Linked DNA regions of Caenorhabditis elegans. The protein of the gene in region 1 purifies or fractionates together with the protein of each later gene. This does not show direct contact. Each region holds a gene or a part of one and is shown in the gene's direction. Other genes may lie near its edges.

What was found. The genes of interacting proteins can lie anywhere in the genome.
Region 2: the proteins of F13B12.1 (region 1) and spt-5 fractionate together in Caenorhabditis elegans (co-fractionation; one large-scale study listed by BioGRID). This does not show direct contact.

Annotation. Positions count from the first base shown.
Region 1 is NC_003282.8:10,422,075-10,426,296, reverse strand, and holds F13B12.1 (IWS1-like protein), read left to right. Parts: upstream 1-1,661; 5' UTR 1,662-1,678; coding exon 1,679-2,046; intron 2,047-2,100; coding exon 2,101-2,940; intron 2,941-2,986; coding exon 2,987-3,188; intron 3,189-3,429; coding exon 3,430-3,555; 3' UTR 3,556-3,687; downstream 3,688-4,222. Other genes in the region: F13B12.2 (Major facilitator superfamily (MFS) profile domain-containing protein), read left to right, coding at 1-1.
Region 2 is NC_003282.8:12,049,514-12,056,276, forward strand, and holds spt-5 (Transcription elongation factor SPT5), read left to right. Parts: upstream 1-1,977; 5' UTR 1,978-1,983; coding exon 1,984-2,031; intron 2,032-2,160; coding exon 2,161-2,244; intron 2,245-2,293; coding exon 2,294-2,803; intron 2,804-2,852; coding exon 2,853-3,435; intron 3,436-3,481; coding exon 3,482-5,134; intron 5,135-5,185; coding exon 5,186-5,578; intron 5,579-5,633; coding exon 5,634-5,839; intron 5,840-5,887; coding exon 5,888-6,037; 3' UTR 6,038-6,233; downstream 6,234-6,763. Other genes in the region: T12G3.4 (Strictosidine synthase conserved region domain-containing protein), read left to right, coding at 1-346; Beta-1,3-galactosyltransferase bre-5, read right to left, coding at 419-727, 781-978, 1,023-1,211, 1,262-1,408, 1,461-1,557, 1,655-1,683; K08E4.2 (Glycolipid transfer protein domain-containing protein), read right to left, coding at 6,341-6,656, 6,705-6,763.

The DNA of each region.
Region 1 (4,222 bases):
AATCGCTTTTTCAATAATTAAATAGTTTGTTTGTTTCCATGTCATAATAAAATACGTTATCTTTTTTGCAATATTAGCTATTGAAAAAGCAGATATTGAACCAATCATTCAAATCGAAGCAAACACTAAAATTTCCGATTCCGACTCAATTTTGGTGCTTCGCTAAATATATAGTTTATTACAGAAAAGTATTAATGTCACATTCTGCAAAATATGGAACCATTTTCTATTTGAAAACAGCTTTTATTGTAAAAAGAGTTCCCGAAACATCACATTTTTTGAAGAAAAATCAGAATTTTTAATTTTTAAAAACCCTACTGTAAGAAAATTGTGTTCAAATATGTACTGTTTCTCTTTTACTACAAATTCCGCATTTAGATCTTTTACTACGATTTGTCCACATTTACTACTCTTTTGCTACGGACGTACTTTTTACTACGTTATCCCATTTCGATCGTTTGCTACCGTAGACATTTTTACCACAATGACTGGGATCCTTTACTACTGATTTTTACTGCGAATTGAAAATTAATTTTTAAAGTGTATTCTAGATATGAGCAAGTGTATGAATATTTTTAAAAATACCTAGGTCACAATTGTAGTCTCAAATAATTATAATAAATTTCAGTTGTTTTCTTTTTGGAGTTAGTTAAGGGATACTGTTGGGTTACTGTAGTGGTACTGTGGTAGTAAGAGTTTTCAGATTATATCCTGTTTTTTACTTTCTAGAAATTTATTCACTAAGAAATGATCAAAACTTATTATGAACATTTGGCTCTAGATATAAAAACACGATATGATCTCTTGCTCTCTTGCAAAAAATCTAGAATCATTAAACAATATTTGCCGGTTTTTTCTATTCATGAATGTGGATTAGGGGTGGCGATAGGTCGCCACCGCAATATTGCAAGAGTTTGGATGCAGTTTGGGCCCCGGGGGCCTGTGGAGACGCAGAGGCATTTTTGCCTACAGACTACGACGCTCCGAAATCCCGCCGCGCGTGTTGTTTATCGTTGATGAAGAGACTTGTTTTTTTTCAAACAAAAAACTAATCTATTGTTTGCTGCCAGTTATCATATTGATTTTTCTCTTTTTAAATCAATTTTTCTTTAGTTTCAACAACATATCGAAAATTATTAGTTCTTTGCAAGTTCCTTCAAGTTGCTGGCGTTTCCGGGTGGAGAATTTTCGCAATTTTCATCAAATTCAAGTTTCGACTTTTTGCAATTCCCCGCTTTATTGTGTCATTGTATGTTTTTATTAGTGAAAATTAAAAACAGTGGAAATGTACATTGCATATTAAAACTCGCGCAGATATTTTATAAAAATTTAATGTTGTTTTTATTTTACATGTGCGAAAGATTTTTCCAGCACTTTTACATAACCCCCTTTAAAGGAATTTTCTCATCTTGTTGTAGTTTTTTTCGGGAATTTATATAGAAATATAGATAAATACTTTTACGTTCCGAAGATAACTGTACTTTCAATAAAATGTCTCAAAATCTGACTCAAAGTTACAATGTTAAATCAATCACTTTGGAATTTTTGCTCCTTTAATGTTCATTTTCAGAAATGTCTTCTTTGTTTACTCTTAATACGATTTCAATCCTTATTTTTAATTCCTTATATGTATTTCTTTCAAAGAAAATAACTTTTTCCAGTGTTCGAACTTTGCGGAATGTCGGACCACGAAGAAGAGTCGCATGGAGCTTCTCCAACATCCCCTGCTTCATCAGGAGCTTCATCCCCATTGGCTCCAATTTCTCCTCGCTCGGAAGGAAACGCCCCAGAATCACCATCGGGAGATGTTCAGGATATCTACAAGGATGAATCGTTCGAGGCTCCGGCTAGTCCAGCTCGTGACAGTTCTGCTCCAGCAAGTCCATCTGCCGCAAGTCCTGCTGGCTCAAGATCACCGTCACCATCGCCGGTCAAAACCAAATCAAAAGTTATGATAGACAGTGACGAAGATTCTGATGCGGAGGAAAGTGCGAACAAGCGAGCTTTGATAGACTCTGATGCAAGTGATGCAGAAGGAAAGAAAAGGTAAGAATTAAATATTGTCAACCTGCTACGTTTTACTAATTTCTAACATTTCAGAAGAGTAATGCTCGATTCTGATGATTCTGATCATGAAGGCACCTCCAAAAAAGAGCCAACCACAAAAAATCTTTTTGGTGATGACAGCGATGACGACGACGAGGATCGACCAAAAAAGACGAATGATTTGGATGAATTTGTGGAGGGCCGTGACGAAGAAGAAAGTCAGGAAACTTCAAAGCCTGCCTACGACAGTGACGACGATGATGGTCCAGTAGACAGGCATGGACGTCATTTTGAATGGGACTTCGATAAAATGCTCGCCGAGAAAAAGGCAGAACGTAAGAAGAAAACTCGTCGTGGAGGAAAAGACGGAGGAATTGATATAATCAATGACGATGACGGTACCGTTTCACGGCTCGTTGAAAGAATGAAACACGCGGCGAAATCTGACAGAAATGCAAATATTGAACGAAAGCCTGCTTTCCAGAAAATCAAAATGCTTCCTGAAGTGAAGGCAATCATGCTTCGAGCTGGAATTGTTGAAGTTCTAATTGAAAACGGCTTTATGAGTGCTCTTTCCGAATGGCTTGCTCCACTTCCAGACAAATGCCTACCGGCACTTGATATTCGTATAACTGTGCTCAAGTTGCTTCATAATCCACGATTTTGGAAACTCGACAGAAGTACACTGAAGCAATCGGGTCTTGGAAAGGCTGTCATGATGCTTTATAAGCATCCTAATGAAACGAAAGAAAATAAAGGAATTGCGAATAAGCTCATTGGAGAATGGGCCAGGCCAATTTATCACCTAGATACTGACTACAGTACCGTTTCAAGGCAAGAACGCGAAGAAAGGGATTATTCTAGAATGCCGGAGAAAAGGAAAAAGAAGATCAAGTAAGTAATAGTAGTAATTGAAATATTTTTTAAAATTAAATTTCAGCAGCCGAGATGAAGAAGAACCCAATGATGACGATCAACCGAAACGACCACGAATCAGGGATGCCGATGAAATGGGGCCAACGAAATCTGATGATCTGAAACCTGGAGACAAGGGATACATTCCAAGAGCACGTGTTCCTAAGCCATCTACCAAAGATTACGTCATCAGACCAGAGTGGAGAGTTACTGGAGCGTTCAAGGGGGTAAGTTTGTTTTAAAAATTGTAAATTTTTGAACATTCTTAAAATTACTACGTAACTATCTAAAAGTCAAATTGTGGAACAACCTCAAAACGGACCTATTTTTATACCGAAAATGTTTTCTACCGTAATTATAATGCAGATTTGATTTTCTCCAGTACCCTTTTATCATCAGTGGATACATTTTTTAATTTATGAAAAAATTCGAGATAAATTTTAATTTTGCTTCAATTTTGCGTTTCAGGAGAAGAAATCCACTGGTAACAACAGATATGATCAGACATTCCGCGATTTCCAAGAGAGAACCAAAAAATCGAAGGCAAATCGGATTGTTAAAGTATCTCTCGAAGGAAGAAACATGGGCATTTGAACCCGGAGTTAAACTACAAATTATTGTTTTATTTATTTACCTTTCTTTGACACCTTTAAAATGTTGTACTCTGTTTTCAACATGTAATTTTTTCTGTATCTGATCGTCTTGAATAAAATGTGTTTGTCTTTGAACTTTTTTATCGTGATTTGTATTCACTATTCTATTGGTTTTTCCTCAAAATCTCTATGCATTCTCACAGATTTCAATGATAAATTGGTCACAAACTAGCCGGGAGGACGGACGGCCGAACAAGTGTTTCATGACAAGTGTGCTCCTCGATGCCATCCTCCCGGTCCAATCACTTATCAACCTATCTGTGTCCTCTTGTATATTAATGCTCTCTATTGCGCCCCAACGAAGCATCCTGAAGATTTGCTCGCACACAAAGCTCGCCATTTCTCCCGCGTACCCTCCGCTTTCGATTCACTTCCATTCTCTCCATCTAAATTTTCTCAGTTTCCGGGAATTCAATGATTCTGTTGTTGTTGGTTTTATTTGTTATTAATAATTCACAATAGGTTTTGTTAAGAGGGCATGCATGGAATCCTGTTGAAATTGGCAAAAAAATAATAATGGAGGTTGTTTTCCTGTGAGAGACAGTGCAAAAGACACCAGCATCTCTAGAGTAAACACGAAAAGTGTTCATCCGAATCGAGTTTCGCCA
Region 2 (6,763 bases), 1.6 Mb from region 1:
TCTTCCTGGATATCCGGATAACATTCGTCTTACAAAATCCGGGCACCTTCTCATTCCAATCGCATCACATCGTTCCGAAGAAGACCGATTCCTTGAACAAAATCCATCAGTTCGAGAATTTATCACTAAAATTCTATCTCCACAAGCTCTTGGATATGTTGCTAATTATGTCGCTGATGTAGAAGGTCTTGTTATCAAAGTCAACACGGAAACTGGTCAAATCATCGAGTCGTATCATGATCAAACAGGACGAGTTGAAGCCGTCTCAATTGCGATTGACGATGGAAAAGGAAGAATGCTTCTGGGAAGTGATGTTAACTATTATATTGCTCGAGCTAAACTTTGAATATTTAATTTTTATTTCTTACGATCTCTATTGATATGTTGAAAATTATATGAAAAAAATTCAAAATACAATTTATTCGAACCCGTTTAACTGGCTATACTCGTATTCAAGATCTTTCCTGGCATATCCATGAACTGCAATTACACCATCATCCCATTCTTTTTGAGACACTCGTCGACACCAGAAGATGAAGTTCTCATTATGAGTTGCTGCGACATTCACTGTTTTGGCGAGAATACCCGTAAAGACATCATCGAATGGAAACATTTTCAGTTTTCTAATTGAATTTCTGAATCGCGCAATGGTTTCGGAAGTGAGGAAGACAGCGCCAGCGGAGACGTATGGAGGATATCGTGAAAATGGATACTCATTCAGCGAAATCTGTAACTTGTAATAATTTGGAAATAGGTTTTTTTTTTACTTGAAGCACTTACGCTGTGTTTGTGGATCTTAAGCCTGAATGGTGACGTGTCAAATACGAAGCCTTCGTAAACAAGTTCCTCTTTTTGTTTAGTTTTTGCGAATTTTACAAGATTTGGGATATGTACCAAATAATCGTCATCTACCAGAAAGGTAAAGTCTGGAGAAGAGCATTGATTTGGATTCGCAGCGTAGTCAATGGCGCCAAACAACTGAAATTAGGTTTTTATTGAGAAAAGTGTTCAAGAAAACAAACTTTTAAGGTATTGTTCCGATATGAATCTATGTCTGATATTGCAAGAATATCCTTATACTTCTCCGATTCTACATCAATTCTTCTCATTATCTCCATATTTTCCACTCTTCCCACAATGAAGATTGGCATAACTTCGACTCCATCAATCATTCGAAACACTCCCCACGTCTTTCTTACTGACTCTCGCATCTGAATATTGTTTTTTTTAAATAGAAATTTGATTTTCTGCAAATACTAACCGGTCCATTTTTCGCACTTGACTTGATTATAATAATAATAATCTTTTGTCCATTGCCAGAAAATTTGCACTGTGGATATTTTGTAAACTTGCTTCGCAATTGTAAATTACGCGTTTCCAGTGGCCAACTGAAGTCACCAAAACTCGTCTGAAAAATATAATCATTATGTTTAAATAATTTTTTCTGGCGTATAAAGTACCTCTCTAAACTTATCCACAACTCCAAGTACCCATAGAAGAAAAATCGTAATCGTGAAAATTAAAAGCTTTTGAAACGAAGAAAGTTCATGATATTTTCTGAAATGAAATTAAATATTTATGCGAAATTGAAGAGCAAAGCAATACTTCTTAAAGCTTTGAGATTTTTCAAGCGTATCCACAGAGAATTTCCTACCTTTTCAAAATCCGCACGCATAAAAACATTAAAATGTTAAATAAATATATATTTAATGCGCGGCAAGTTGTGGGTTTTGGACGTGAACACCAGATTGCGTACCGGGCATCGGAACCGACGACAATTTATTTCTTCTTCATTTTCTTCTTCTTTTTTGCGCTTAATTTCTTCTAATCATTTATACCTATAAAGTTAATCATTTTTTCAATTGATTGATTTACTTCTTGCCTAATTTTCTGAATTTTTAAGCGTTGTCCTAAATCACACGCGTTCCTCCTCATTTCTCTGCCCCAAGTTATTTGAAATTTACTTAAATGTTTCAGTTAGCAATGTCCTCTGACGAAAGTGATGCAGCCTCAAACAAAGAAGAAGACACGGTTAGTTATCGATTTTTCACTCTATGATTTGAGATTCGATCGATTTCGCCGAAAATAACAAATAAGCTTTCATGGAAAATTCACAAATTATGCGACTTTACTTATTTATCGATTTTTATCCTCTTACAGACTTTGAGCGATGATGATGGCTCAGATGTTGAAATCAAAAATTCAAAGAAGGACAGAAAGCGGAAACTTGCTTCAGAGAGTGAGGTGAGTGAAAACAATTAATTTTAAAGTTACAATCCTGTCGGTTTTTCAGAAAAGTGGCTCGGACGATGATGATGACGACGATGACGATGAAGATGAAAACGTGACCAGCAAGAAATCTAAAAAGCAGAAACGGAAGAATAAGGCTCCTTCTGGACGAGATTTTCTTGCTTGGGATGTTGAAGTCGACGACGAAGACGAAGACGACGACAATGATTACGATGACGAAGACGATCCAAGCATGAATGCAATGAACGAGCGAGAGGAAGCTGAGCGTGCGATGAAAGAAATGGAATTGAGTCAACGGAATAGAGATCGGTACAAGTTCCAAAACATGACGGAAGACGAAGTCCAGAAATACTTTGAGAACAAGTACAAGGGTGACAAAAACGACAGTCAATATGATGACGAAGATTCAGCTATGGATGATATTTCAAAAAATTCTCATCTTCCATCCACGAAGGATCCTAACCTGTGGATTGTCAAATGTCGCATGGGAGAGGAAAAACTCGTAGCGATGCATCTGATGCGTAAATGTCTTGCGGTTGAGCACACAAACGAGGTAATTGATAAATGTCCCGTAATAATGATTGCATTTAATCAATTTATAGCCATTCCAAATCAAATCAGTTGTCGTCAAGGAAGGACTCAAAGGAATGATCTATATCGAGGCGTTCAAACAATCTCACGTCATGTCTGCAATTGAAGGATTTTCAGCTCTCAATCAATTCACTATAACCATGGTTCCCATCAAAGATATGGTAGATGTATTGAGAGTTGTCAAAGACATTCCACAGTTGAAACTCGGATCATATGTTCGTTTGAAAAGAACAATGTACAAAGATGATCTGGCTGTCGTTGATCTTGTGGATATCGCTCAGAACCGTGTCAACCTGAAATTGATTCCCCGTGTCGATTATCAGAAGCGGCGCGGAGCAATGAGAACTGATGCTGATAAAAACTATAAGCTGAAAAGACGCCCAATGCCCAAGTTATTTGATCAGGATACCATCAAAGAAGTTGGAGGAGAAATTGTGACGGACGGAGACTTCTTAGTATTTGAAGGAAATCATTTCCGGCGAGGATTCCTCTACAAGTACTTCCCCATAAACGCAATTCAAGCTGATGGTGTTAAACCAACTCTTGGAGAACTCGAAAAGTTCCAAGAATCTAGCGATGATCTCAAGAGAGAATGTAAGTTTTTATTCCTTTATTCTTTTTTAAAAATACTTTTTTTCAGTGGAAACGGCTTCTCTCAAAGACACAGAAAATCCATTTGTTCCTGGAGATATCGTCGAAGTGAAAGCTGGAGAGTTGGTGAATCTTCGGGGTAAAGTGATGACGGTCGATGGGACGAAGGTTGTGATGATGCCAGATCAAGAAGATTTGAAAGAAGCAATCACTTTGAACGCTCATGAGCTCAGGAAATACTTCAAGGAAGGAGATCATGCAAAGGTTATTAGTGGACGATACGAAGGACATACTGGATTAATTGTCCGAGTAAAAGATAGCACAGCCATAGTTTTGTCTGATCTTGGAATGGAAGAATTGAAAGTTCGTGTACGAGATTTGCAACTTTGTGCTGATGTGACAACTGGAGTGGACTCACTGGGACAGTTCCAATATCATGATCTTGTACAGCTCGACCATACAGGAAATGTTGGAGTAATTGTTCGATTGGAGAAGGAACATTTGGAAGTTCTCAACATGCACGGAGTTGTGAATCGTATAAAGCCACAAGCTATTATAGCGAAAAAAGACGTTCGATTTGCGAAAGTTCTCGACAGTCAAAACAATTCCATCGAGGCTAAAGATCTGGTAAAAGTAATTGGAGGACCAAACGCAAAGGAGCGGGAAACCGATGAGGATCCAGTTGGAGAAGTTCTCTATGCGTTCCGTGGAACTGTCTTCGTTTATTCTCGCAAAGTGACTAAAAATGGAGGAGTCTTGGTTTGCAAACCAAAACAACTGATTTTACAAGGAGCTAAGAAAACAACCAGTACACCGATGGTTTCTCGAATGGCTTCACCGAATCCTATGGCATCACCAAGACATTCTTCTGGAGGAATGACTCCTCGTTCTCCACAAGATGGTATGTCAAGTCGTGGAAGCAGTGGTGGACAAACTCCGAGACAAGGTGGAGGAGGAGGACGTGGTGGTCATTTTGGAACTGCAAATCAACAAAAAGTTCGTCGTGATCTTACCCTCATTGGAAAAAATGTTCGAATCATCAAAGGTCCGATGAAGGGCCACTTTGGAATTGTTCGAGATGCCACAGAAGACACAGTTCGTGTCGAATTGCATACACAATGCAGAACGATTTCTGTCGATCGTGCTCGTGTGATGGTTGTCGGAGACACTGGAATAACAGCTGGAAGTGGAGGTGGAAGCTCGTTCTACAGTTCTTCGAAGACACCGATGCGCGACTCTGGCAAAACTCCAATGTATGGATCGAAGACTCCGATGTATGGAGCACAAACACCGATGTATGGCTCGATGACTCCAGCTTATGATGGAGGAAGAACACCGGCGTATGGAGAAGGTGGACGTACCCCTGCATATGGAAGCAAAACTCCAGCATATGGAGATCTTGATGAACATTCATCATCACGTACTCCAGCCTATGGAAATGACAGTTCAAGAACTCCTGCTTACGGTAGTGCTGATGGTGCACGAACTCCTGCCTATGGAAGTACGGAAGGTGGACGGACTCCAGCATACGGATCAATGGACAACAGTAGAACTCCTGCATATGATGATTCTGGAAGAACGCCTGGCTATGAAAGTATGCCATCGAGAACTCCGAACTATGATTCAAGCAGTAAGACTCCAGCCTATCCAGAATCCGAACATTCCGCCAGAACTCCAGCATACAATAATGATTATGATATTCGTGAGTTGAACCATTACATATCTTTGCAATTTTTAATTTTTAATTGTTTAGCGTTGAGTCCGGCATACGAGCCCGATGCACCTGAAGCGTATGACAATGCTCCAGCAAGAACTCCAGCATTCGTGTCCCGTACTCCAGGATACGACACATATGAGAACAGCAGCCCGACATACGAACCAGATGCAGCTACAAAAGTTGAGGAAGACATCGGAGACACTTCGTCTCCAACTTATGATTCTCCTCCACACTCGTACGTTGTGCCAACTCCAGGTGCAATGCTCAATCCAGCAACTCCGGGAGCCTATCACGTTGATACACCTGGATTCGCTGCTCCAATGACGCCAGGAAGTGGAGGAGCATACGATCAATATGTTGCGCCTTCTCCATTCGCTGGCTACGACAGTAACAACTACAACAATGCCGATGGAGCTATTGAGCAAATTCGTAAGTTGCTCAAGATTTTATTTGAATTATAGTGAAGCTAATTTCTTATTTTTAGCGGACCACTTCCTGGCTCAAGGTGTGTGGATTGTGCAGAATCTGTGTGTGCAAATCAAGGACCACGAAGGGCGATTCAACGGACGTGAGGCGATCATTAAAGATGTTACCGATGGAAAAGTGGATGTCTACATGCCAGATCACAAGTGCAACTTGGAAGTTGATTTCGATCAGCTAACTCCAATGAAACCGCAACCAGGAGATGATGTAAGAAAATATTAAATTGAAAATGCTAAATGAAATGTTAACTTTAAGGCTCGAGTGATTTTCGGACAAGATGCAGGTCACAGTGGACAACTTGTTTCCATGGATGGATTCGAAGCAGTTATCCGATCACAGGAAGACATGTCAGACATGCGAGTCATCAACATTGGATTGTGCTGCAAAATGCATAGCGAAACTTGAAAAGTTGTTCACTTTACTATTTATTCTCCAATTTTTCTTCGCTTTTTTCTGTTCAAATGTTATTCGACACTCGACGAGTTTCACTTCGTTGTGTCTATTTTTTGGTGTCACCCTTTGAAAATCGTTCATTTATTTATTTATTATACACTGTTTTATTTGAATTAAACATTTCTTAAAATGATTGCTGCTTTTCTTTTTCAAAAACAAATACACTTGTTGTACAACCAAGAGATATAATGAAAAGTTTAATTTCAGAGAACATATTTTTTGTGAGATCAAGAATGAAGAGGGTAGTAAAGAGATTCAGGCTGAAGGATTATAATCAGTTAGTTCGAAATTTTCAACTAGTTTGTTCACTCTTCGCACAATATCTCGTCCGTCTCGATTGAAAATATCATGGAATTGATTATCATCGTCCTCTGGCATATCACCACGAAGTCTACATAGAAATTCTGGTTTTCGAGGCAAAGTGTAGAGAGCCGCAGCGACAGCAGTTCTGATTGGCCAAGAATGAAGTTGAGAAAGATGTTTGTCATAAGAAGAACGAGCGATTGTCGATACATTTTCATCATTCGACGTGAACACTCCATCCAGCAAATCGATGACGAATTCAAGAGCTCTGAAATGATGAACTCATTGATTTTCTCTTCTACGAATCCACGAATACCTGTTAAGAACCATCAAATGTCCAGTGCCGCTTCTATTTGGTTTCTGATTTCGAATAGT